Linked DNA regions of Mytilus edulis. The protein of the gene in region 1 purifies or fractionates together with the protein of each later gene. This does not show direct contact. Links are inferred from orthologs where the notes say so. Each region holds a gene or a part of one and is shown in the gene's direction. Other genes may lie near its edges.

Region 1 (8,183 bases):
AAAATGGAAAATCCTGACTGATGAGAAATCAAAGTATAAATTTATTAGATAATAAATCACTATTAGCATAATTACATAAAAAATAATAAAAATAAATTAAGAACATTGACTCTCCATTCCTTTCAATGTTAACCATAGCTTGTTTTTGAAACTTCGGTCAATCAAAATTTTCTTACCAAATGACCAAAATATAACTGCGTGTTTAATAGAGGCAGACTAAGGATATTTCATTTAATTCATGGACACAAATTAATTATTGTTTGAAATTTAGATGATATTTTGCTAATATGCCAAATCAATCACTAGCCATGGAGAACGACAATTGTATTTGGTGCCGACTTAAAGAAACCAATTTGTATCAAATAAGTTCAAATTATCAAAATGAATCTATGAAATAAATTCAGAAAGAGCTGTTGAATATTTCTGAAATAAAAAATTTGCGTCATGCCTCTGGTATCATTTAAAAAATAATGTATAAATTACATTTTTTTCAAAAATCAACATTCAATTCCATATTTGTCAAAGTTTCTAAGAACAACACCTATATTCATGTGAACATTGCCCATGGCAACTGTATTTAGTCTGTATCTATCAGCTCCACTGTAAATCAGATCAGGATTCTTCAGCTGTGGTCCTCCACCAACAAAATATTGAGAAACTTGTTCTCTAAATGTTCCTGCTGGTCTCCATGTTGGACATGAAATTTTATGGGTACCAGGTGATGTAGGCACATGGCAAAATCCATATCCATATAGTTCATTCCGTCCAAAAGAATCCTGATGCCAAACTTGAAAATGAATTTTTGGCCAACCTGAAAAAAGTTTTTAAATTTATTTAAAGATTTATCTTCAATCAAACTTGCAAGTTTAAGGAGTCATGTCTTGTATATTTTACGTGGAGTATTTATGTTCAAGTTGACAAAATAATTCATAAAATCAAAATATTCCTTGATGCAATTTTGTTTATTATATGTTTTGTGTTTATTGTCATTGTGTGTTTTACTATCTTTTATAAGAATTTTATAAGGCTAGTTGTTTTCTTGTACTTATTATCATAGTATCCTTTCATTGTCATTCAACTGTTAGAAGCCAAAAAAGGGAGGTTTACTTGTAATTCTTAAGATAAAACAGTAGTTCAGGCTGGCATATGTTCATGTGCCTGTACAATGTAAGGATTCTCACAATCCACTTCAGTGGTTTTTTTAACTTGTTTTGTCATTCAGGTTATTTGGTATTTATGACAACTGAGGCATAGCCAAGGTTGACAATGTCTTTTTGAGGGGTTACAATCTGCTCTATAACACTTTAAGATATATTTGTTATTTAATTCATTATACTGATTGTTCTGAAAGTTCTGTTATTACTGTCCTTTTAATTTTAAATTCTAAGTAATAAACTATGATGTCTTGTACATAACAACCATCTATACTAAATAAAACACACACTTGATAAAGCATCTCCATGAAGGGTAATAGAGTATTGGAAATTGGGTAGAGTCAATTATCTCCCTTGTATAAACCAATCAAAATCTGATATTTTGATAAGAACTGAAGTGTAATATTTAATATTGTTTTAATTGAACAAATTACCTTGTAAACCTTTGGTTGTAAAGTGAACATCTATTGGATGAGCCCAGTATGCTTCATCATAATTTTGTGGGTTATCTACTTGTGTTTGTCCTTCTCTTAGACCAGACAAAGCTTTCCATGCTCCTCCTGATAATACAAAATATATCATAAATATGAATTGATATATGAGGTACATGTAGTTTTACATAAAAAAATATCTTATAGTATAAAAACAAATAACTAACACTGGACTTTGACTTTGTGGTCTTCATTGGTGAATGTAAGTTAACACTTTAATCATGCACATTGTTTATGGATATACAATGTAGGTCAATAACAATGAAGAAAACTATTTACTGAATTTGAATAATGTGTATCCTGTGTTATCTGACATACTGGAGGACCAGAAAAAATGTTGGATTCAGCAGGGTGTCGGAATACTCTGGCAGGTTTTTTTTTTGCAAGGTTAAGCAAATTGGGACCATGAAAATGTGTCGGTTAAAGCAGGATGTTGGAACACTCAGGTGTCAGAAAAGTCAGGTTACACTGCATAATCAATCATAACACACTGAAAAAGGGCTAATATACAGACAAAACAAATTCTCTAATCAGATTTTCTTCAAACAGATTATTTTCTTCAAAATTTTGCTGAAGACTACAAGTAAGTTTAATTTTGAATGTTTTTTATGTTTGCTTGCTATTTCACAGTCTTTATAATTCTAAAGAACTAGTCAAAGTTTATTCAAAATAAGTTTTAAAAAAATGTATGTATATGTTGTTTAATAAGTCTATTTCAACACACCTGTATGTATACCCCATTTACAAAACAAACTATGATCTGGAAATCCATCAGCACCAAGAATCTGTCCTATGATATGTACTTCTGCCATGATTCTGTAAAAATAAATCAATTACTCTATTCAAGATTCAATTATGTCGGAGGAAAAAAATAAAATTACACAATTTAAAACTCACTTATTTCACATATATATATGTAATTCAATTGAATTCTCTCAAATACATTTCCAAAAGTACATTATATGTTCATGTTCCCCATTTCCATTCTTAATTTTATGTTGTACATTTTTATGTATAAAATGTATCAAAAGTCAAATTAAAGGGACTCCAAAATTACTAGTCATGCTAGTGTACACAATTCAAAGAGGGAAACCAACGATCTAATTTACATATATATACAAACGGGAAAATACATATGAACAGAACCACACCAACAAACGATACATGTTACTACTGAACAATAGACCCAGAATCAATGCGGACAGGTGCATAAACATGCAGTGGGTATGGATAGTTTCGTTCCGCTGGCATACAATATAATTGCAGTTGAAGGCAACTCTTCTCCTTCAGAAGTTCTGCATTCTCTATTTTGACAACGAACATTTTTTGATGGGCCGGGAATGTAGGTGAGGGGGAAGAAAACTAATGTACAGGTATTTTCCCCTTGTTATATATTTATATCAGAGCACTCCCACTTTGGATATATGGGTTTAATGTTTAATCAAATTTTTACAAAAACATTTACATAGTGTGGTGGGGTGCTTATAGGTTTAAAATCATTAAATACAGGTAAGCAGGTAAGACTGTGATTTTAAATTAAGGGTTAATATTTTTTTATAATATTTACCAAAAAACAGACAGGATTATATTTCCGGATGCGGGAAGCAGGAATATAAATCTTAAAATTTATTTCTGTTTCGAATAAAATAGGTGCGGCCAGGTCTGTCAAATAAGGAATTAAATTGATGTGGCCTCAAAGTCATTATTGCAGTACTAGTCTTCTTCTTTAAGGAAATTTGTAAATGGATTCATGTGATAGCTTTATGAATTATGTAGTATTGAATAACACAGAAAGTTCTCTCTTTGGTATTTACATATGTATTATAAACAATGTTTGCAACATATGCATTTTTCAATTATAACTCTAGAATCCGGATCCGTTCGCGCCCATTCACGTTTGCACCCACTCATGTTCGCCCCTTTCACTTTCCCACCCTACATGCTCGCACCCAAAGTCTGTTCGCACCCTACATGTTCACGCCCAATTTTAATTGGTTTTTTTTGTAATCATGCAAGTTTTGGTAAGAGTATTCTTCTTGTCATTGTCTTAAAATAAAGTGAGACAGCATTTTATTTTTGTGTTGAATAAATCTTAATCATGTTTTGGATAGTGTATTGTTAAAAAAAATATAATCCTTTCTATAAATAAAGTGGGATTCTGTCAACGTTTTATTTTGTGTTGAATAACTCTTAATCATGTTTTGGTTACTGTATTCCTATAACTTTGTTTCATTGACTTGTTTCAAAACAACTAAGTGAGATTTTGACTACGTTTTTTTTTTGTGTGTTGAATAAATTTTATCTTGTTTTGGTTATAATAGTGTATTGCTTTATTTTATTGTTTAATTGTTTCAGATCAAAGTGACCAAGCTATCAAAAACAATTATCTTTTGTGGTTTTTTTTTGGGCCCAAACGTGTAGAGTGCGAACGGACCTTGGGTGCAAACCTGCGAGGAGCAAACGTGTAGGGTGCGAAAGTGTATTGGGCGTTAACGGACCTGATACCATAACTCTAACCATCTGGTGTCTCTTTCCTTTTGTGATAAATATTTCAAACAGAAAGAAAGCAATTAAATGAATCTTGTAGTTAAATTGGCAAACCATTTTATTTGACATGCCCAACCCGTCTTTTCGAACATAAAAATCAAAAGTAATTAAAACCCGCTAGGAAAATTCAAGTTCGAACATGGCCAAGGCACTTTAAACTCTCTTTTTGCTTACCACGCCGTAATTTAAGTAGATAAAATGCTGAATTCAGTAATTTTGTTATTAAATGGTTAAAACTTTTCTGATTTAGGCTTCTCTGATATCTTATATATCAGGAAATTTCATTTTCTTTAGAATAAATTGTTAATGTTCATTCCTGTCCACCATTTTTGTTGACATTAACAATTTGATATTTTCGTATTTTGCATAAATCCTATTTATCAAAATAAATTGATCTTGGATGAATAATTAGTTGCTATTTAAAATGAAACTCTTTGTTAAACGCTTTTAAAAATAAAATATGAAATAATAACATCCGAAAATAATTAGTAAACAAATGCTGATTTGGCACATGTGTGAGTTCTATCAAGATAATGACAACTTATCATATTTGTCAGTGTAAAATTCATAGCTTATAAATAATCAACATCCTGCATCTCCCTCATAAACAATCATCAATCTCTCATATAAATTTACACGTGTGCTCTTGCATTTTACGTCTAATAACCAATTCCTGTTCTGGAGAAGGAATAAAACACATTGTCCAATGCTTTAAGGTTCATCATAACCTTTTGGCTAAAATGGCCTTATTTACACCCCAAATTTTACTCTGAGTACAGACTAACCTATACACCTGCAACAGTTTTAAGGGATGGCAGGAACTAGATATATAAATTTTAAATGCATTTTATGTTTCAGAAAATTATAAACTTTTCTAGATTTTGCTATCCATTTTTTTTCGTTCCTGCAGAAGGTGCAAAAATTAACTAAGTAGTGAAAACGATTGAGAAGCTCCCCTCATATAATGAATGTTGTGAGTAGTATTGATTTAAATGGACAATAGACACCTGTAAACAATAGGTGATTTAACAGGTTTAAACTGTGTCACTGAATGGACCGTATCAAATGAAACTCGGGTGTTTGTTTATTTTGCTATCTTCTGCAGACTGGAAAAAAATGAACATCAAAATCCAGGTAAGTTTTTAATTTTCTGAAACGTAGACTTCATATAACTTTTATATATCTAGTTCCTGCCATGCCTTAAAACTTTCCTGGATGTACCAGTTTGTCTGTACTCATAGTAATTTTGGAGGTGTAAACACGGCCATATTTTTCAATTCCTTATGATGAACCTTAAATACATGTATAAACAATAACGATAATAATTGATAAATTCTTTATTTTTAGAAATCTGTCTGGCATGACCCTGGAATCTGTTCCGCTTGAACGTTTGACATCATACAACAATCACTTTTCCATCAATCTAATTAAAAACCGATCTCTCATCGCTCCCGTTTTCTGATATGTCGCATGGGAGATCTAACGAAACCGGCTTTGAGGTCACATGTGAGTGAACTAAAAGTTATAAATTTATAATGATATGCAAATGAGTTGATGACCTATTAGTAAGCCAATCAAAAAAGTTTATGAATTATTTTGACTGACGATTTCGTCGTAAATAAAATGAGTTACATCCCTTTACCTTTCATTAAACTTTCAAGATCGTGGAAGACTCAATTTCATTGGTCGAAAAAGACACACCTACGAGGTCACTCACATGTGACCTCAAAGCAGGTTTCGTTAGATCTCCCACGCGACATCAGAAACAGGAGCAATAAGAGATCGGTTTTAATTAGATTGCTTTTCCATATGAGCATCACTGATGAATCTTATGTTGACGAAACGCTTGTCTGCTGTACTAAATTATAATCCTGGTACCTTTGATAACTATTTACACCACTCATGGGTCGATGCCACTGCTGGTGGACATTTCGTCCCGGAAGGTATCACCAGCCCAGTAGTCAACACTTCGGTGTCAACATGAATATCAATGATGTGGTCATTTTTATGAATTTCCTGTTTACAAAACTTTGAATTTTTCGAAAAAAACTAAGGATTTTCTTATCCCAGGCATAGATTACGTACTTAGCCATATATTTGGCACAACTTTTTGGAATTTTGAATCTTCAATGCTCTTCAACTTTGTACTTGTTTGGCTTTATAAATATTTTGATATGAGCGTCACTGATGAGTCTTATGTAGACGAAACACGTGTCTGGCGTACTAAATTATAATTCTGCTAGTGGTACCTTTGATAACTATTATGACTTTGTTTAAGACCCCAAACTAATCAATGGTAACAACAGGTGTCATAATCTGTTGTTACAGGTAATCTGTTTATTGGATGGGTCTTTAATGATTACTATATTAATTCATTCAAATAGAATCGATAGAAGGAATTTGCATATACATGTAACAACACTATGTACTGTACTTTCCTAGTGTAAGAATAATTTGTACCTCAGCCATTGTCAGCTCAGGCCAACAGAATGTATACAAAACTTTCCCAAAAAATCGGATTGTGTCTGTTGCTAAAGTAGACCTTTATAAAACTGAATCACCCTATACTAGTATATAAGAATCAATTGGATATAATTTGTAGAATATTCCGTATTGATTTAACCTTCCATTAATGGCCTGTTATTAATGAATGATAATTGTATATATTTAAGATTGTTTTTTGTGCATAAATTAATATTGTCATTTCTTCAACGTTGTACTTTATTTGGCCTTTTTAACATATTTTGATTCCAGCTTCACTGATGAGTCTTTTTGTAGACGAAAATTGTGTGTCTGGCATATATATAAAATTTGAATCCTTATATCTATGATGAGTTTATTCTATCTAGAACCTCCCAAAAAAGGGACAAACCTTGTTTATACTGTCCTTTGCTTTCTGATGTTGTCCCTTTCTATTACCAGGAGGTAAAAATAACCTATTTGTAATATGGTATGTAATTTAAAAAAATTCATGGTAAATTTATTTTTTTTAGGAAAAAAAATGTAAATTAAATTCCACACTTTGATATATATATTGGAATCATTTTGATCTTATGTCTGCAAAGGGAGGTCATCATGTATCTGATACAGACTCGGATATTACTGTTGGACCAGAAGATAGTGACGTGACCACTGAATCACCACACAAATCACCAGTAAATCTTCCGTCATTAAGTAAAAGAAGAAGTGAAGTTCATGAGATTTCAGAGTCTGAAGAGGAAAGTGAAGAATATTTCATTTTGAAAGGGACTTCTAAAGGGAAAGGAAAATCTTCATTATTTAACTCATTGAAATCCACATCTGAACAAAACGAATCTAAATCACTTGTTAAACAAAGTAATAAATCATCAGCAACTTTGACTAAGCTTAAGTCACAAGAAAAGACAACAAAATCATCATCAGAATGTTTTTCAAAGTCACTAGACAACAGAACAAAGCCATCATCAGAAACTTTGACTAAGTCAATCGAGAAGAGATCAAAGCCATCATCAGAAACTTTGACTAAGTCAATAGACAAGAAGACAAAGTTGTCACCAGAAACTTTGACTAAGTCACATGACAAGAGAACAAAACCATCATCAGAAAGTGTGACTAAGTCCTCTGAGAAAAAGACTAAGTCATTTACAGAAATAGAGAACTGGTTAGATAAGATTGATTCCAGTCCAGAGGCTGAAAAGGTTGATATTAAAAAAAGATTTGACAGTCCAGTGGAGAAAGGCAAACATTCTGATTATAAACCATCACCATCTAGTGGCTTGAAGAGAAAACAGACAGTTTTACTTGAAGAAGAAAAGAAGACAGTTAGTAGGAGGAAACCTCCTTGTCAGTATGGGTCAAAATGTTACAGGAAAAATCCATCTCATCTTCAAGAATTCAGCCATCCAGGTAATTAAATAGCAAAGTTAAAAAAAGAGGATTTGCATCAATTGCCTGTCCTATCAGGTAGTAGTAAAATTTAACAAAAGAACATTTGTTATCATTGTACAAAAAC
Region 2 (8,584 bases), on another chromosome or scaffold:
TATACAAGTTACAAAAATGACGAAAAGTTGTTCAATATTGACTATAAAGGGCAATAACTCCTTAAGGGGTCCTCTAACAATTTTGATCATGCTGACTTATTTGTAGATCTTACTTTGCTGAACATTATTGCTGTTTACAGTTTATCTCTATCTATAATAGTATTCAAGATAATAACCAAAAACTGCAAAATTTCCTTAAAATCACCAATTTTAGGGCAGCAACCCGACAACAGGTTGTCCGATTCAATTGAAAATTTGTGAGGGGATATATCTTATTCTGATGGACATTAAAATCTTGAAAGATTTGCCCTAAATGTCTTAGTTTCAAAGATATAAAGCAATTTTACCACTATGTTCTACCGGTAATTTTAGCCATGTCGGCCATTTTGTTTGGTAGGCTGGGTCATCGTACACATTTTATAAATTGTAAAACACAATGATAATTGTGGCCAAGTTTGGTTAAATTTGGCAAAGTAGTTTCAGAGAAGAAGATTTTTAGAAAAGTAACAAAAAATGACGAAAAGTTGTTAAAAATTTACTATAAAGGGCAATAACTCCTTAAAGGGTCGACTGACCATTTTGGTCATGTTGACTTATTTGTAGGTCTTACTTTGCTGAACATTATTGCTGTTTACAGTTTATCTCTATCTATAATAGTATTCAAGATAATAACCAAAAACTGCAAAATTTCCTTAAAATAACCATTTCAGAGGCAGCAACCCAACAACAGGTTGTCCGATTCGTCTGAAAATTTCAGGGCAGATAGATCTTGACCTGATCAACAAATTTACCCCGTCAGATTTGCTCTAAATGCTTTGGTTTTTGAGTTATAAGCCAAAAACTGCATTTTACCCCTATGTTCTATTTTTAGCCATGGCGGCCATCTTGGTAGGTTTGACGGGTCACGCCACACATTTTTTAAACTAGATACCCCAAGGATGATTGTGGCCAAGTTTGGTAGAATTTGGCCAAGTAGTTTCAGAGGAGAAGATTTTTGTAAAAGTTTACAGACGACGGACGCCAAGTGATGAGAAAAGCTCACTTGACCTTTCAGGTCAGGTGAGCTAAAAAGGAGCTGGGCTAAAGGAACATTAAAACTCACAAGTTAGAAATAAAAGGACAATGGCATGGCTAAAAAGAATCTGTAAACAAAGCAAATCCACCAATACACATTTTATACTGCAACTTGTTGTGCTAATTTCCTAAATATAGTAACATAGCTATATTTTGTATAATGTCAATTTCATCATGGAACACTTTCTCCACAATTAGGGGTCCATTAAGTGATGAAAATAAGTTTGACATTTGTGTTACGATTTAAAAAGCTCTCATGCAGTGTAATAATTTATGTTGCAGCATAAAAACAATATTAGGTCAATTTCATAAAAGTATAAAAAAATGTTTTACTCATGCAAAACTGGAGAAGGGCAGGGCTGCCAAGTCTCAGGCATTTAGCGTTAGACTCAAGCATGTTTATGATTTTTTGGTGGAATTTTACTTTGATCTATTGTTTTTTCTCTTTGATCTTTTCAATTTTGGCCAAATCTCATGCCCGCATTTGCTTCATGAAAAGTTGACATAACTGGGAGGGCTCGGTAGAACCTTGCCTTTTCCCAGTTTCTCAGTCTCATACAAAACAGTTTATATTTTCCTGACATTGACCTAATATTGTATATATCTGGTTTACCAACTCCAGAAGCAGTTATACACTTATTTTGTCTAACAGTATATATGCAGATCTAAAGCTTGCTGCACCTCAAGAAAGTGGAAAATTACATAAAGACGACGAGGAATTGAAAACAACAAAAAGTATAACAGCTGGTTTATTGTTAACAAAGCTGTCTTCTTGAAAAAAAGTTGTGTGTTCCATATTTGTACGAATTTTAAATAAGTTAGTCTGAAACACAATGGAAAAACAAAAAGTCAACAATTCTGGCCAGACTGAGTTATAAACAAGAGATGACAATATTAATGTTGCTTTCTTTAATTTTTTCTTGGTGGAATATATAATTTTGTCAAACGTCATCCCAATATGCTGGTTTTATTTAAAATTTTACTGCGACGTGACCAAAGCTTAGTATTGCGGTTTACCTTTGCCTGCTGGTCAACCAGATTGTAAAATTGATTATATGATTGGAACATTTAAATTTACCAGTTGTAATTAATTTTTCCCAAAATATTTTTTTTTTCTCACATGAATTATATTAAATATATTTGTCTTATCAAAACCTAGCTTTTTGTGTTCTGCTAAGGGAGCCAGAGGCCCCCCTTTTCTGTGAAAAATTTGGTTGATTATACAGGGAATCACTGGAATGGGCCCCCTCTTAGGCAGTCAGTGGGTCCCCACTAATGAAAATTTCGATATCCACCACTGGGAGCAACCATTTAACTTCAAGGGGGTTTATGTTTTATTTTTAGTCAGAATTTTTTTCACGATCAATTAGATTATTTTTTCAAAATTTTACACTATACTTAAGGTATGTAGGGAATTGGCATTCAGAATATTTTTTTTTACAAATTTAAACAAAAACCCCACTAGAAGTTAAATTGTTGTTTCCTAAGTAGAGTTTACATTTTAATTTAAAAGCAGTGTTGACAATATTTATGAGACCATCAGAGCTCATACGAAACACTCCTGCAGATTTCAAACCTTCCATCATAAAAAAACTCGTAGAATGCCCTCAATTGCATTGGAGACCTTTGATATAATTAATAAAAAATGTCCTTTATTTATTCAAGATTTAGTTGTAATAAAAAACAATTCATATAATTTCAGGTATGTGAATGATAACTGAGGTACCTAGACCTAGAATCTCAAGTTATGGTAAAAGATCCTTTAGATTTGAGGCAGCACAAGTATGGAACTCCATTCCTAATGAGGCTAGACTCATGACTTCTTTTGACCAGTTTAGGAATTATATAAATTCCTGGTGTGGGGGTCAAAAATGTAACAGCAGTTCATGTCGTTTCCATCCAGTGCTGTCTCAAAGCTGAAATTTCTTTCTTTCTTTTTATAATGGCCTTTTGCTCTGCTTTTATGCATTTATTGAATGTATCTGCCACTAAATGCTAGTGCTTACATTTATTTATTTATTGTTTTTATGCTTTTAGTCTGTTATTATGCTTCAAATGATGCTTGTCATGCTGAGCTTGGTAGAATTCCACTCAAAAATAAAATTGTTTTTTCAAGCATAAATTTTTTAGAGCATATACTTTCATCAGAAAATACACTTGTAAATCAAAATTTCTGTTCCACAAGATTTTAAAACCCCTGTATCCTTAAAACTTCGTGCATTTTACACAAATTAGGATATTCATATCTTGTTGATTCACTAAACAATTTAAATGATAGAGCAGCAATATGCAAAATATGCACAAGTGCACATCCTTTAATGATTGAAAGGGGAAGACATCTAATTAATATTCCTAGAGAGGAAAGATTATAACTGTCCTGTCTGTAAAAATTGGGAAAATGAGGATGAAAAACATTTCTTATTAAAATGTAATAGATTTACCTCAAAGCGAGAAATATTGGAAAATAAAATAAATGTTATATTTCAAATACAGCGTAACATTACCATTGATGAAAAAATATCTCTATTGGTTAATAATAGCTCAGCATTATTACTAGACTGTCTTCCTCTTTCATATCAGAGTGTCTTAATATAAGAAATAGTGATCTTATATGATACATCATTTTGTAACTTTTCATAATAGCATGATATGTTATCATGGAACCTTTCATTCTACCATGTCAATTATTATAGTTATATGTAATGGCATAGGTCATAACCATTTATTGTTAATGAGTTTGTGCCAATAAAAATATTTGTATTTGTATTATTTAATGATTTTCAAGTGATTTGCCGACTCCCCTGTTCAATGCACATAGAGGCGCTTGCCAAATGAACTTTGACTCGGGAGGCTCACAGATCAAATATATTTGCTTCCATTATACTTGCATGCTTTTTTCATTTTTATTTGATAGTATTTGCATGAAGCTGCATGATTTGTTTATGTGATAGTGTAAAGCAAAATTAAATCCGGGTGAAATTTGATCCGGAGGAAAAAATGTCACAGTAGTTGTTGTTATTTTTTTATCCGGTGGAATATATTTCCCTGGGATCTTTTTTCCTTTGCCGTGAAATTCTATCTGGGTAGTTATCTTATTGAATAGTTATTAGAAAAAACTTATCCTTTAAAAATACTATGAAATAATAATAGTGTATTTGAAATAAAGCGAAATTGTTAAAAAAAATGTATTATAATGGGAAATAATTTCACAAATTATCCGTGAAAAAATTTCCTGAAATATTCAAGTCAATATCATCCTTTTAAAAAAAAAATTATCATGAAACATAGGGAAGAAAACCAGAAGTAATTTCAAAGATCCTTATTGTGAAAATAATATCATGATTAAATAAGGTTAGTGAAATACATGTAAAAGTGAGTTGTTTTCAGATCTCAGTACAAATATAAATTTAAAAGTAAGGTAGAAATATAGTTGCATTACTACTGTTAACAGTAATAGAAGAATTTGATTATGATGATATTTTTAACTATATAAATAGTTTTGTCTGGGGACAGAGATGTAGTTGTTGATTATATGGAAATCAGATAAATCATAGCATAACAATATATTTGAACAAAAGCATGTTTAACAGCTGGATAGTTTTTACCTGTGAAATGTTATCTGTCTTATTAAATCAAGTTGTAAGTCAACTTTTTATATAAATAAATATATAAAAAAATAAGATTCAAGGACAAACACTATAAAATAGATTCAGAAATGTATTATATTAATATCTTTAAAATATAAATTGCTCATAATTATCTCCCTTTGATAAATTATGCAAATTTGGTCTACCTTTGTGAAACATTTTATAATTATAGTCAGGTATATCAGGGGGATGGGGCTATGGTTTTTTTTTGGAAAAAAAAGTTTGTTTCCAGTTTTTGGAGAAAAAAATAATTTGTTTTTGATTCTGAGAAAAAAAAAATGTTTGTTTCACCCTCAGCTGCCACTATATGTAATGCTAAAATTGAAAGAAAAAAATTGTTTTCGACTTGTCGCGAAAAAAATAGATTGTTTTTCACAAATATATACCGGTACATACTATCCGCATAACACAGATAGATTTTCACTCCTCTGGAAAAAATCAACCTGTGAAATACCATGCCTGGAAAAAAATTACCGGGACAAATTATCCACAGGATAAAATATCCCATAGGAAGAAATAAACCGTTACAATAGTCGGTTAAAGAGCTCACCAGAGCTCATGTTTTGTCTGTTATTGTGTATATATATGACGACTCTGAATAAAATTGTCTTACTTACTTACTTTCTTACTTACTAACACTACTATGTAAATTTCCCTTAATATCTTGTGAGATTTGGGTAGATTCTCGGGATTGCACTCAGGTTTTTATAACTTTTCGCTCTCCTTTTTAAAGATAAATTTGTCTGTTTACATTGTTTTGAAAAATCGCAAACCTCTGCAAAATTGTTTTGTGTTGTGTTGAAATTTCAAGTAAGAATTCAAAAAACAAATCCCCAGCCGTCAAAAACAGGCGTGTCATCCTGCATGCATCATTGTATTTTTTGCAAAATGTTTGTGCGAAAAGAATGTGTTCCAATGACAAGAACTGCCACTTCGGCACTTGGTTGAAAACTTTTTACATTGCGTATTATTTTTTTTCCATAATTTTTCTTAGTCAACTTTTACATATTATACCCCAGACCGTGTAAAGAGTAGGTATCGGACTCCTGAGTCTCTGATCCTTTATATCTGGCTTTGTAGAATCTAACACTAGCAATTCATAGTTTATTATAATAAATTACAATTATTAATTAAGCAAATATCAACAATATTATAAAGATAAAAGTATTCAAATGTAAATAATTTAAAACTCTCATAAAAGTGACAAAATATGGCGAGGTCTGTGCAGCAAGACTGAAGATAGACATTTTGTTCTATATATCAGGTTGGGAACAAACCCTCTATATCAGTTGAACGGCAAACGATTTAATGGCTTCTAAGTTCAAGACATTGGTCACGTGATAAAAGGTCAGAGTTTACGATTTTTTTGTAAACGTGCATGCCTCGTGGTTTTTAGACTCGTATCGTCTTATTTGTACTCGTACATTAATAAAAACCAAAGTGTTCAATTCTAGATTGAATAAGCTTTCTTATTTTATATAATTATAATAAAAAAGTATTGTTAAAATGTTATAAATTCACGAGCAAAGTGAAACTTTTTTTCGGAAAATTTGCGTAGGTCCACGGAAAATCCTTAATAAATCCTTAAATAGGTTTGGTAACGTGTTGAGAGGTATAAAATATGAAGTAAAACCATTTTTTGCTCCTAATATTACAATATCAGATCACAAAAACCCCGGATACGCAATTCTGTCAGATTATTCGTGGCGAAGCGGAGATCAAAGGGAGATAACTCGGTACGCGCATCGTAGGAAATTGCAAGTTCACAATAGTAAATATGAGTAAAATTAATGATTGCAGATCTATTTCGACGAGTTCTTGAATACCGTTCAATATTCCATGTTCCTCTACTGTTAAACATTAAAATAGTCATGGAAGTTCAAGTTCTTACAGGTTTTTGAACACTTCCAAAGAAGACACTTACCAACATTTTATATCAGACTGACTCTCTGAAACTTGAATATATTGTATATATTCTCAAACACCCTTTTAGTAGATACAAGGATACAAGATGGGTTTATCAGTCATTTGTCAGAAGAACCTGTGTAACAATAGAAGCAGAAGCAGAAGATTACATTTAAACAAAAATATGGGGGAAAAAAGGAAATACATGTATATAGTCTTCAAAATTGTTACCATTACCATAGATTGAAAATAAAATCAATCTGAAGTAGCCAGAAGTACATGTACAATTTTTGTTTTATTATAGCTGCTTTAAGATACAGTTGCAGATGATGATGATTGGAACCTCCTCTTTTTATGGCAGATTAATGCATTTGAATGGGATCATGCATATAGTTGGAACCCTCCTTTTTATCCTTAGTTGAGAATACCACCACTTATGTTTAAAATTTTCTGGATTCACCCTGAGATAAGAAACTACATAAGTTGTACAAGTTCTGTTGCTTGCCTTAATCAAGAGAAAAAATCTGAACATTCAAAGAACCAGAAAGGGATTTAAAACATAATAATCAACACAAAGATCACTGAACAAAAGCTGTATTGTAATCTGATATATCCTGCAGTTATCATAAATCCTGTTATATGTATAAATATTTGAAGTTTTGCTTTATATTTTTTCTTCTTTCTTATATTTGAATTCAAAAGTCCTGCAACCAACTGTTAAGTGCTTGATAATCAATTATTGATTGGATAATAACATCAGCTGACCAGTAAATAAAATTTGAAAATGCTTAGTTGAAATAAAATAGTGGTATTATGTCATTAGATATACTGAATCAACTTCAAATTTAATCCAAATTCACATTTACCTGCACTAAAATGCATAGTCAATTGAACTACAAAAACCTGAGACTACTTCAATGTATAACATAGAGATTGTGGTCACCTCCCATGTTATAGTAGTCTTAAACAAAAACAAAACTGACTTCACTTAAATACAGTATGTTCAGAATTTTTTTGAAAAAGGACAAAGTTCAAAAAGAAATTTATTATTCTGATATCAGAAATAATCTCATAGTATCAAAGCAGAATGTCAGTTCTTTTAATTGAGATAACCAGTTTAATCACATTATTTACTTTTATAAAAAAAAATGATATCTGGATTTACAATCATTGACTAAGCTTGTCATCAACTCACTTACTTTACAAATGCTTTTAAAAGTTAACCTGTCAGTACTAAAATAAATAATTGTGGTATAAGACAAGATATTTTATTCAAATTAAAGGGCATATGAAGAGCAAAGTAATGTACATGTATTACAATGATTTATATATGTGTATATATAATGGATCAATGATGTTGATATAAATCAGATAAATATGGAGATAACCAACTCCATTCTTAGATTTTAAACCACAGCTAGTTCAGAGCCACACATATATTTGAAAAGGCATATAATAATTATATCTTCAATTAACAGGCAAATGTTTCCAAATGCCCAATTTAAACATTATCTGTACTCTCTATATATATTGATAACTTTCTGAGTTCAAACCATTTATTTTAAATTGCAACACAGTCACTTTTCAATGCCTCTAGGTTTTCTTGAATAAAAAGCCAATTAGATTTGTCACTTGTGCTTAACTTTTCACAACTTTTTTTTAACTTATTATTATATTATAATTAAATTCTTTTCTTAAAAACTTATAAAGGGGAAACTGACATTTATGGTATAGTTGCCAATGACATAACAGCCTGGAAACTTATCACCAGAGTCCAAGTCTCTGTTAGCAGTGACAGTTAAATTACAAGTCACTTGACATACATCAACAATTAATACATTCCATTGTTTTAAGGCAAATGAGGAAAATAAGAGTAACAAAAGCTTTTGCCTTACTACATGCACAAGAGAATATTAGAAATTATAATATAAATTAGAAAATATCAGAGGCAAAAAAGA
Region 3 (8,367 bases), on another chromosome or scaffold:
TATATACAAAGTATGAAGCATCCAGGTCTAGCAACTTCTAAATAAACCAATAAACTTTTTTTCTCTTGTTTCTTGGACCGAAAAGGGGTGCGCACTATACACAAATGGGCACTATACACACCAAAAGACGGTAACTTCCTATTGTTTTTCTGATATCACTTGTGTATCAACATGTACATGAGCAAGACTTCTTTATTTAATCTTGATGTTTTTTTGTCATTTAGATAAGATTGAAATGAAATGTGGTGAACAAAAAAATGTATATATGTTAATACAAAGTTTGTACAACAGCAACTTTATGACAGAAAAGACTCACAAATTTAGAGGACCACATGCAATGTTCATCAACAGACAGGTGTCTATATAATGCATGTGTTAAGATATACATGATATAAATAATCAGTGTTCTCCCCAGGGCCTATTTCCATCATGGTAATGTGATGCTATATTTTTTGAATGTGATGCTATCTGAAGTTGTTTTCTTATAGATTGTGTTATGAATGTGATGCTATAATTTTTTAAAAACAGAATGGTATTTCAAATTTCCCTTTTAGCCAGGATGCTATATGAAATATCTGGGGAGAACACTGAATCATCTGTGTATAAGATTACAAACCTTTGTTAAATCTTCAGTCTCAGGTCTGGTCTGTTGCTGGGTAAGTTGACCCTGCTGACCTAGAGAAACTTGTGTAAGTAAATGCTGTGGAATGCTAGCTCCAGGGTGACCTTGCATTAATTTAATGGCCTCTTCCAAACTTAACTGTGTCCTCTCTGCAGGAGATACTCTATCTTGACGATAATGCGAAGATAGCTCTGGCACTGGTGACATTCGTTGATGTTTGGGAGATGGGGAAGACTTCTGAGGACCTGGCGATACACGTTTAGGTGCTGGAGAAGGTGTCTTACGTATGGTAGATACATGATATGGAGACATCCTTTCACTCTCACGACCAACGACCCCTGGTGGAGAGGATCCTGGTATATTGTGTACAGTTCTGTTAGGTGGTGGACTGTGATAGGAGGGTGACGGCCTTGGAGGGTCTACTCTGTGATAAGATGGGGATGATCTTGAAGGATCAATAGTCGGTCTATGAAATGAAGAATCTGATGAAGGTCTAATTCCATGTAACAATTGTTGTCTTAACAGTCCACCCTGGTCAAGTCCATGTGGAAGACGTATTCCCCCCTGTTCTAATCCATGTGGAGCTCTTAGTCCCCCCTGTTCTAATCCATGTGGAGCTCTCAGTCCACCCTGTTCCAATCCATGTGGAGCTCGCAGTCCACCCTGTTCTAAACCGTGTGGAGTAAATGACCGATACTGAGGCTGGGAGAAAATCTGTCCCATAAACCTTATGTCAGGGATTCTTTCTGTTGAACTTTGAACTTTAACTGGAGAAGTAGGAAGATGTTGCACTGTATGCGATGGTTCTGAAGGTTGATTTATTCCTTCTTGTGCCATTATGTGAGATGCTATAAATGATGGGGACAAACTTTTCTTTGGAGGGAGGTTGTGTAGTCTTGGTTGATTAAGTGTCTGTCCATCAAAAACAAGTCTGTCAGTAATATGATGGGTTCCCTGTCCTTCTGGTATCAATCTATCTGCCTGATATTGGATTGAACTATCTGGATGGTACTGAACAGTACTTGACATGACTGGTCTCTGATTATCACCAGATTTCTTCTTGCCATCTTTCTTTGCCTGGTTTCCTGTCAAATGTAAAGATGATTTATGTAATTGTCAGAACTATATTTTTATTGATTGACAAGTAACCATGGTAACTATTAACATACATATGACATGTATGAGCATGTATACCTCTAACAGTGGTGTCGGTAAAAAATGTTAAAATTAGTGATTGTTTCCTTTAACTTGTGATAAAACATTCAGGAAAACTATTTTCTAGTCCCAACATTTTCCTATTTATTGTTCTAGGATAATACCGTAAAATTGGTTATTTACTAAATAATGTCATTTTGGTATCTTGTGGAGAGTTGTCTCATTTGTAATCATACAACATCTTCTGTTTTTATATGTACATGATGTACAAATGTAGGTATCTAACTACATGTAGCATTCCAAAATTTACACTTTTATGTAACTGATATTAAATGCAGACAGAAGAATAAATAAATGAATGTAAAAATACATAATTAACATGCAAAAAGAATTATCAAATATAAGAAAAGTCTATAATAACCTTGTGATTTCTTCTTCTTTGGTTTTTCTGCTACGTTTTGGAGATCTTTATTTCCATCCATAATTGTCTGACTGGTTAACTGTATACAATGTTACTGTCCACTTAATGGCTACATGTACCTTCTAACTGTGTTACGTCTGACTGGTTAACTGTGTTAATTAAGGCTGACAAATGTTACTCTCCACTTAATGGCTACCTTCTAACTGTGTTAAGGCTGACAAATGTTACTCTCCACTTTAATGGCTACCTTCTAACTGTGTTACGTCTGACTTTACTGATTGTTCAACTATCTATCTACTTAAATCTGTGGCTTCCTTTTCAATTGTAAGTCTAAGACTGACTTCAGTTGATGGTTTATTCTTCACTTTAATTTATCTTAAATATGAATGAATCTGTAAAAAAACAAATATACTGAGACATGTGAGAGACCAATGTAAAAAGTTTATTTGAAACCCCTATGACAATGTACTGTGAAAAGTGGTACAACATGTACAATATCCTAAGGTAGGAATAGTCATGCAAAAATAACTTACCGTCTTTAGGTGTGTATAGTATGCATTTGTTATGCTTGTAAAGTAGTAGGTAGAGGTGGTGCCTATTATACACACCTAAAGACAGATTTTTATATGATTATTAATGTGAGGCAGGCATTACTTGTGAAAGGGGATGAAGTCTGTATGAATTATTTTTTTTTAATTCATACATATTTTAACATCAAAATGGTTAAAAAGGACACGGAAATACCGTAACATTTCCGATTTTGGTTCTGTTGTTAGGGATTTTAGTTGTGACTTTATTTAGGTTATGACATCATATTCAATGTAAACACAGAAATGCTATCATTAGGTAATGTTTTTTTTATATTAATGAATTGTTAAAAATGAATTTGGTATGGTGTTCCTTCTTATATTTTACTAGACTGATAAACGATAAATATATTTCATGTATGTTTTACTCAAAGTCTCCTGACAACAGTCAGGGGACTTACTTAAACAAGTGATTTTCTAAATCACTGATTCAAGTAACATTATTTCCATTAAGGTTGGAAGTTAGAGTTGTCTTTCTTTAATAATCACCTATTTAAGTAGTACAAATTAATCACTAGAAGTGATTTAATTTTATTGTAGCTTTAAATATAGAATACTAATGATCCAGGGCCTAATTATGTTTCGAAACTTATCAGAACCAACATTTGTGTTGTCTAGGATGACCAGGTCATTTCAGGTGATGACCTTGTACTGAATCTAGGATAATGACATACAAATCACTTATTTAAGTATCAGACCTCAATTTCCTTCCAAAAAATCACTTCTTTAAGTATCATTCTTTTAATAACCCCCACTAATTTCAACACCCCAATCAGTGAAACTTTTATCGCAAACAGTAGAATTTTATTACATAATCTGAAAGATGAAACCTTGAACTTCACAGGAAAAATACTCCCACTGCTGTGAAAAATCTTTGAAGAAAGTGTCAGTTCATTATGTAAAGCCATTATTATAGCATTTTTTCAACTAAAATAGAATTTTCAGCTAAATGATAGCATCAAAGGCATAAACCTTGCTACTTAAAAGAAGCAAAAAGTTCATATTTTTAAATTTTACTAATTAAAAGATATTATTTAACATGTTTAAACCTATGTGTTGAAAATTTTGAAAAAACTACAAAATCCCAATTTGTGACAAAACCTTGAATTTGCTACTCAAATAAGTGATTTAAAAATCACTTATTTCAGTAAGTCCCCTGTCTGGACAACGAGACCGGAAAAAGTAGGTAGATTTCTGCGCAAATGTGGGAATTTAAATAAGTCTGAAAAAAAAAAGTTAACGATTTTGAGGTCATTAGTCATGTTGTCTTTTTTAACCATTTCTACATTTGAAAATGCCTGTACCAAGTCAGAAATATGACAGTTCTTGTCCATTCGATTTTGATGTGTTTTGTCAGTTGATTTTGTTATGTGATTATGGACGTTCCGATTAGATTTTCCTCTGAATTCAGTATTTTTGTGATTTTACTTTTTAGTAGATTGAAAATTTGGGGGATGTTTTTTGTTAATTGATTTTTCTACCATTATAAGGCATGTAAGGGACTTCGTCCCCTTATCATACCTGCCAAATTATCAAAATGCCCATGGGGGTTTTGCGTGCAAGATGGCTGCCATAATCCTAAAAAACCTTCAAGGGGGGCCTTCAAATACATTGCAATGTTGTATTTTGGCTTCTTCATACTTTTATAAGCCTCAATTGATTGTAAAATTAATTATTTGTTTAAAATTGTGGACAAAATTGCTCTTCAAAAATTTCAATTTTGGAGCCTCCATGGGGGAAATCCCCTGCAAATAGTGACAGTTGGCAGGTATGCCTTATAAAAAAAAATATCAATGGTGTTTTAATTTTCATGAATGTGTAAATGTCATGTATGTTCAAGACGTTTTTTTTTTTTTATCTAATTTCTTTATTTCTAGTTTTATCAAGCTTAAATAAAAGTTTTCCTTGGAACTTCCGTCATTCCGTTATGCAAAATGTGTATGTTGAAACCTTGAGATAAAATATCTTTAAAATGTGGTAAAAAAAATAGTTTCCAATATTATTCTTCATGTTCATGATCATGATGATATTAGTCTACAATGTTTTCCTTGGAAAATATAATCATTCAATTAAATTGTTAAATTTGGTTGTTGGCTGAATTATCGAGGTCTCAATATGACTCCAGGTAGATTTGACCAGGTGATGAAGTGACTATAGAATGATAGAAGTAGAATTTGTCAAATTTCAATCTTTGACAGCTAAATCAGTAATTTTAACTAAGTCTAAAGTCATCAAAAATCAAATTAAATCAGATATCATAGACCTGGTGTTAAAAGTAAAGCTCAACATGGCTGCACTCAATTGTAACCTTTACTGGCAGTTAGCTTATTCTTACGTGTTTTTATTTCAATTTTCAGGTAAAAGATCTTCTTCAGATTTTATGTTGTTTTCAAGTGTATGAATGGGAGACAACCGAAGTGTGAACTTCCGGGAAAACAATTTGGATGATGCAAATTATAAATAGCAACAAAAAGAATAAATTTCTGCATTAAATGATAAAAGACACTTAATTAATTGAATTATTTATCCATTTAGTTCGTGAAATTGACAATTCACTCTGTAGTTCAGAGGGAGGATCTTTTCCCTCAAAGTGCCCGGAACCGTCTCTTTAATTAACATTAACATCGTATTTCCGTTGTTTGGATTCTTACAAAAACTTGCTGAATAAGGAGCTCGATTCAGTATTATGTGTATACTTTAGAATTGTAAAGTAAATGATTAATCAAATGACATTCCAGACTTAATTGGAGAACATGCCAGAAATAAAAGTGAAGCATATTGTATCCTGTAGTTGTGCTGACAAGGTAAACACATGTACAAGCTTGATCGGAATTCTGACCTGTGCTAGTGTCTTATACACCTTATCGCTAATCCCGGCTGACCCGGCAGCTTGAACTTTTGACGTCAACAACAATCACTTTTCCATTGTGGCGTCAGATATTTTGTTTTATGACGTCAAAATTTTACGGGAACCTGTGTGATTTCCAGCAATGGCAGACAAATAGCGATAAGGTGTATTCTAATGAGACTTCTAAGAGTTCCATAATAGACCACTTTCGAGTTCATCCCTCACAGAAAAAAACTTGTTAATTATGCGCGCCTTTATAACGTCATTAACCAGATAGAGGGGATCGCTTGTATCCCTGCACTATTAACGTTCATCAAGCATCTTTGTGATCATCATTGTGTAGGATAAACTAGAAATAATGTTTTGTAAGTACTCAATTACAAAATTTTCCTTAATGACAGCAGTGATGATTGTCAATTATCAAATTTTAATTCGCTGAATAATTCGTGCCCCGGCCACTTGCTCAACATTGGAACAGAAGTGACGGTGCACCTAAACACAAGAATGATGTTCACCAAAACCAGAGTTTTTGATGGAAATACATCGAACTCATAAATTGTCTATTAGAAGTTCATAGGGGGTCTCATTGGGGGTTTCTGATCCAAGATCCCTCTTACTGTTTTGTCAGATTCCAGTATCCCGCTTACACTATGTACATAAGCAATTTCTCATTTTTTTGCTAATTTCCCGTTTTCACGGCACAATAATTTGACTTTCAGGTGTCATGCTTACAAAAAATCAGCAATCCCACGTCACGCTTAGACCCCAATGGCAATGAGACCAACTTAATACTAAAAGAAGACGTTTATAGTGAAAAAAAGACTTTCTAATTTCAGTATTATACTGCCCGGATTGACCTGGGGACTACTGGCCTAGAGGAAAGCTAGTGCAAATAATAGACCCCTTTCGATAAAACATGTTCTAGTTTGTCCTTCACCTTAAAAACTTGTCAATTATGGGTGCCTTTCTGACGTCATTTACCAGATAGAGGGGATCGCCTATATCCCTGCTCTAATAACTTTCATCAAGATCTCAGTGATCATCATTGATAAACTAGGAATATTGTTTATTTAGTCGGTACTTTAACAATTACCAAATTGCTAATGAGAGCAGGGATGATTGTCAATTATGATTTTTCAATTTGCCAAAAGAATTCTTGCAATAAAGCATCATGGTTTTCTATAAAGGTATATAGGAAATTTTTCTTCTGAGATGAGTGCCTGTGTGTTAATGTTAGAGTTTGTTTATTTCAGAATAATCCAGCTGAAAATTTGTTAAAAGCAGAAGGTTCACACAAGTGGAAAACAACTGGCCAGCCTAAAAATGCTGTTGTTGTACTCCAGGTATAGTTACTATAAACCTGCAAATTCTAAGTAAACAAATTGGATCTGTATTGACCCATGTGTGACAGTTGGGCGGCTGGGCTTGATAAATAAACCTACTTGTATGAACATGTCGCTTGAATGAAGTAAATTTATAAATTTTTTGTTATTTTACCATTTTATTTATGCATTGTCAATTTTGTGTCTCGTTCTTGTATCTGTGACTCTACTTTGTAAATCTAGGGTTCACTTTAATAACCTCTCAATACCACATGTTTTACATATAAATCTAGGGTTCACTTTAATAACCTCTCAATACCACATGTTTTACATATAAATCTAGGGTTCACTTTAATAACCTCTCAATACCACATGTTTTACATATAAATCTAGGGTTCACTTTAATAACCTCTCAATACCAGATGTAAATCTAGGGTAATAATAACCTCTCAATACCAGATGTAAATCTAGGGTTCACTTTAATAACCTCTCAATACCACATGTTTTACATATAAATCTAGGGTTCACTTTAATAACCTCTCAATACCACATGTTTTACATATAAATCTAGGGTTCACTTTAATAACCTCTCAATACCAGATGTAAATCTAGGGTAATAATAACCTCTCAATACCAGATGTAAATCTAGGGTTCACTTTAATAACCTCTCAATACCACATGTTTTACATATAAATCTAGGGTTCACTTTAATAACCTCTCAATACCACATGTTTTACATATAAATCTAGGGTTCACTTTAATAACCTCTCAATACCAGATGTAAATCTAGGGTAATAATAACCTCTCAATACCACATGTTTTACATATAAATCTAGGGTTCACTTTAATAACCTCTCAATACCAGATGTAAATCTAGGGTAATAATAACCTCTCAATACCACATGTAAATCTAGGGTTCACTTTAATAACCTCTCAATACCAGATGTAAATCTAGGGTAATAATAACCTCTCAATACCAGATGTAAATCTAGGGTTCACTTTAATAACCTCTCAATACCACATGTTTTACATATAAATCTAGGGTTCACTTTAATAACCTCTCAATACCACATGTTTTACATATAAATCTAGGGTTCACTTTAATAACCTCTCAATACCAGATGTAAATCTAGGGTAATAATAACCTCTCAATACCACATGTTTTACATATAAATCTAGGGTTCACTTTAATAACCTCTCAATACCAGATGTAAATCTAGGGTAATAATAACCTCTCAATACCAGATGTAAATCTAGGGTTCACTTTAATAACCTCTCAATACCAGATGTAAATCTAGGGTAATAATAACCTCTCAATACCAGATGTAAATCTAGGGTTCACTTTAATAACCTCTCAATACCAGATGTAAATCTAGGGTTTACTTTAATAACCTCTCAATACCAGATGTTTT

The links.
Region 2: the proteins of tyrosyl-DNA phosphodiesterase 1-like (region 1) and DNA ligase 3-like purify together in Homo sapiens (affinity purification with mass spectrometry; 4 studies listed by BioGRID and IntAct, with this or other methods). This does not show direct contact. The link is inferred for Mytilus edulis from reciprocal best matches to the Homo sapiens genes TDP1 and LIG3.
Region 3: the proteins of tyrosyl-DNA phosphodiesterase 1-like (region 1) and DNA repair protein XRCC1-like purify together in Homo sapiens (affinity purification with mass spectrometry; 4 studies listed by BioGRID and IntAct, with this or other methods). This does not show direct contact. The link is inferred for Mytilus edulis from reciprocal best matches to the Homo sapiens genes TDP1 and XRCC1.

The regions. Positions count from the first base shown.
Region 1 is NC_092346.1:49,635,910-49,644,092, forward strand, and holds the start of tyrosyl-DNA phosphodiesterase 1-like, read left to right. Parts: upstream 1-4,670; 5' UTR 4,671-4,744; intron 4,745-7,185; 5' UTR 7,186-7,245; coding exon 7,246-8,077; intron 8,078-8,183. Other genes in the region: B9 domain-containing protein 2-like, read right to left, coding at 498-811, 1,589-1,714, 2,370-2,457. UniProt on the Homo sapiens protein: DNA repair enzyme that can remove a variety of covalent adducts from DNA through hydrolysis of a 3'-phosphodiester bond, giving rise to DNA with a free 3' phosphate.
Region 2 is NC_092356.1:45,825,113-45,833,696, forward strand, and holds the start of DNA ligase 3-like, read left to right. Parts: upstream 1-5,441; 5' UTR 5,442-5,531; intron 5,532-8,584. UniProt on the Homo sapiens protein: Isoform 3 functions as a heterodimer with DNA-repair protein XRCC1 in the nucleus and can correct defective DNA strand-break repair and sister chromatid exchange following treatment with ionizing radiation and alkylating agents.
Region 3 is NC_092349.1:93,467,996-93,476,362, reverse strand, and holds the start of DNA repair protein XRCC1-like, read left to right. Parts: upstream 1-5,206; 5' UTR 5,207-5,538; coding exon 5,539-5,589; intron 5,590-6,886; coding exon 6,887-6,976; intron 6,977-8,367. Other genes in the region: uncharacterized protein, read right to left, coding at 617-1,707, 2,199-2,259. UniProt on the Homo sapiens protein: Scaffold protein involved in DNA single-strand break repair by mediating the assembly of DNA break repair protein complexes. Negatively regulates ADP-ribosyltransferase activity of PARP1 during base-excision repair in order to prevent excessive PARP1 activity.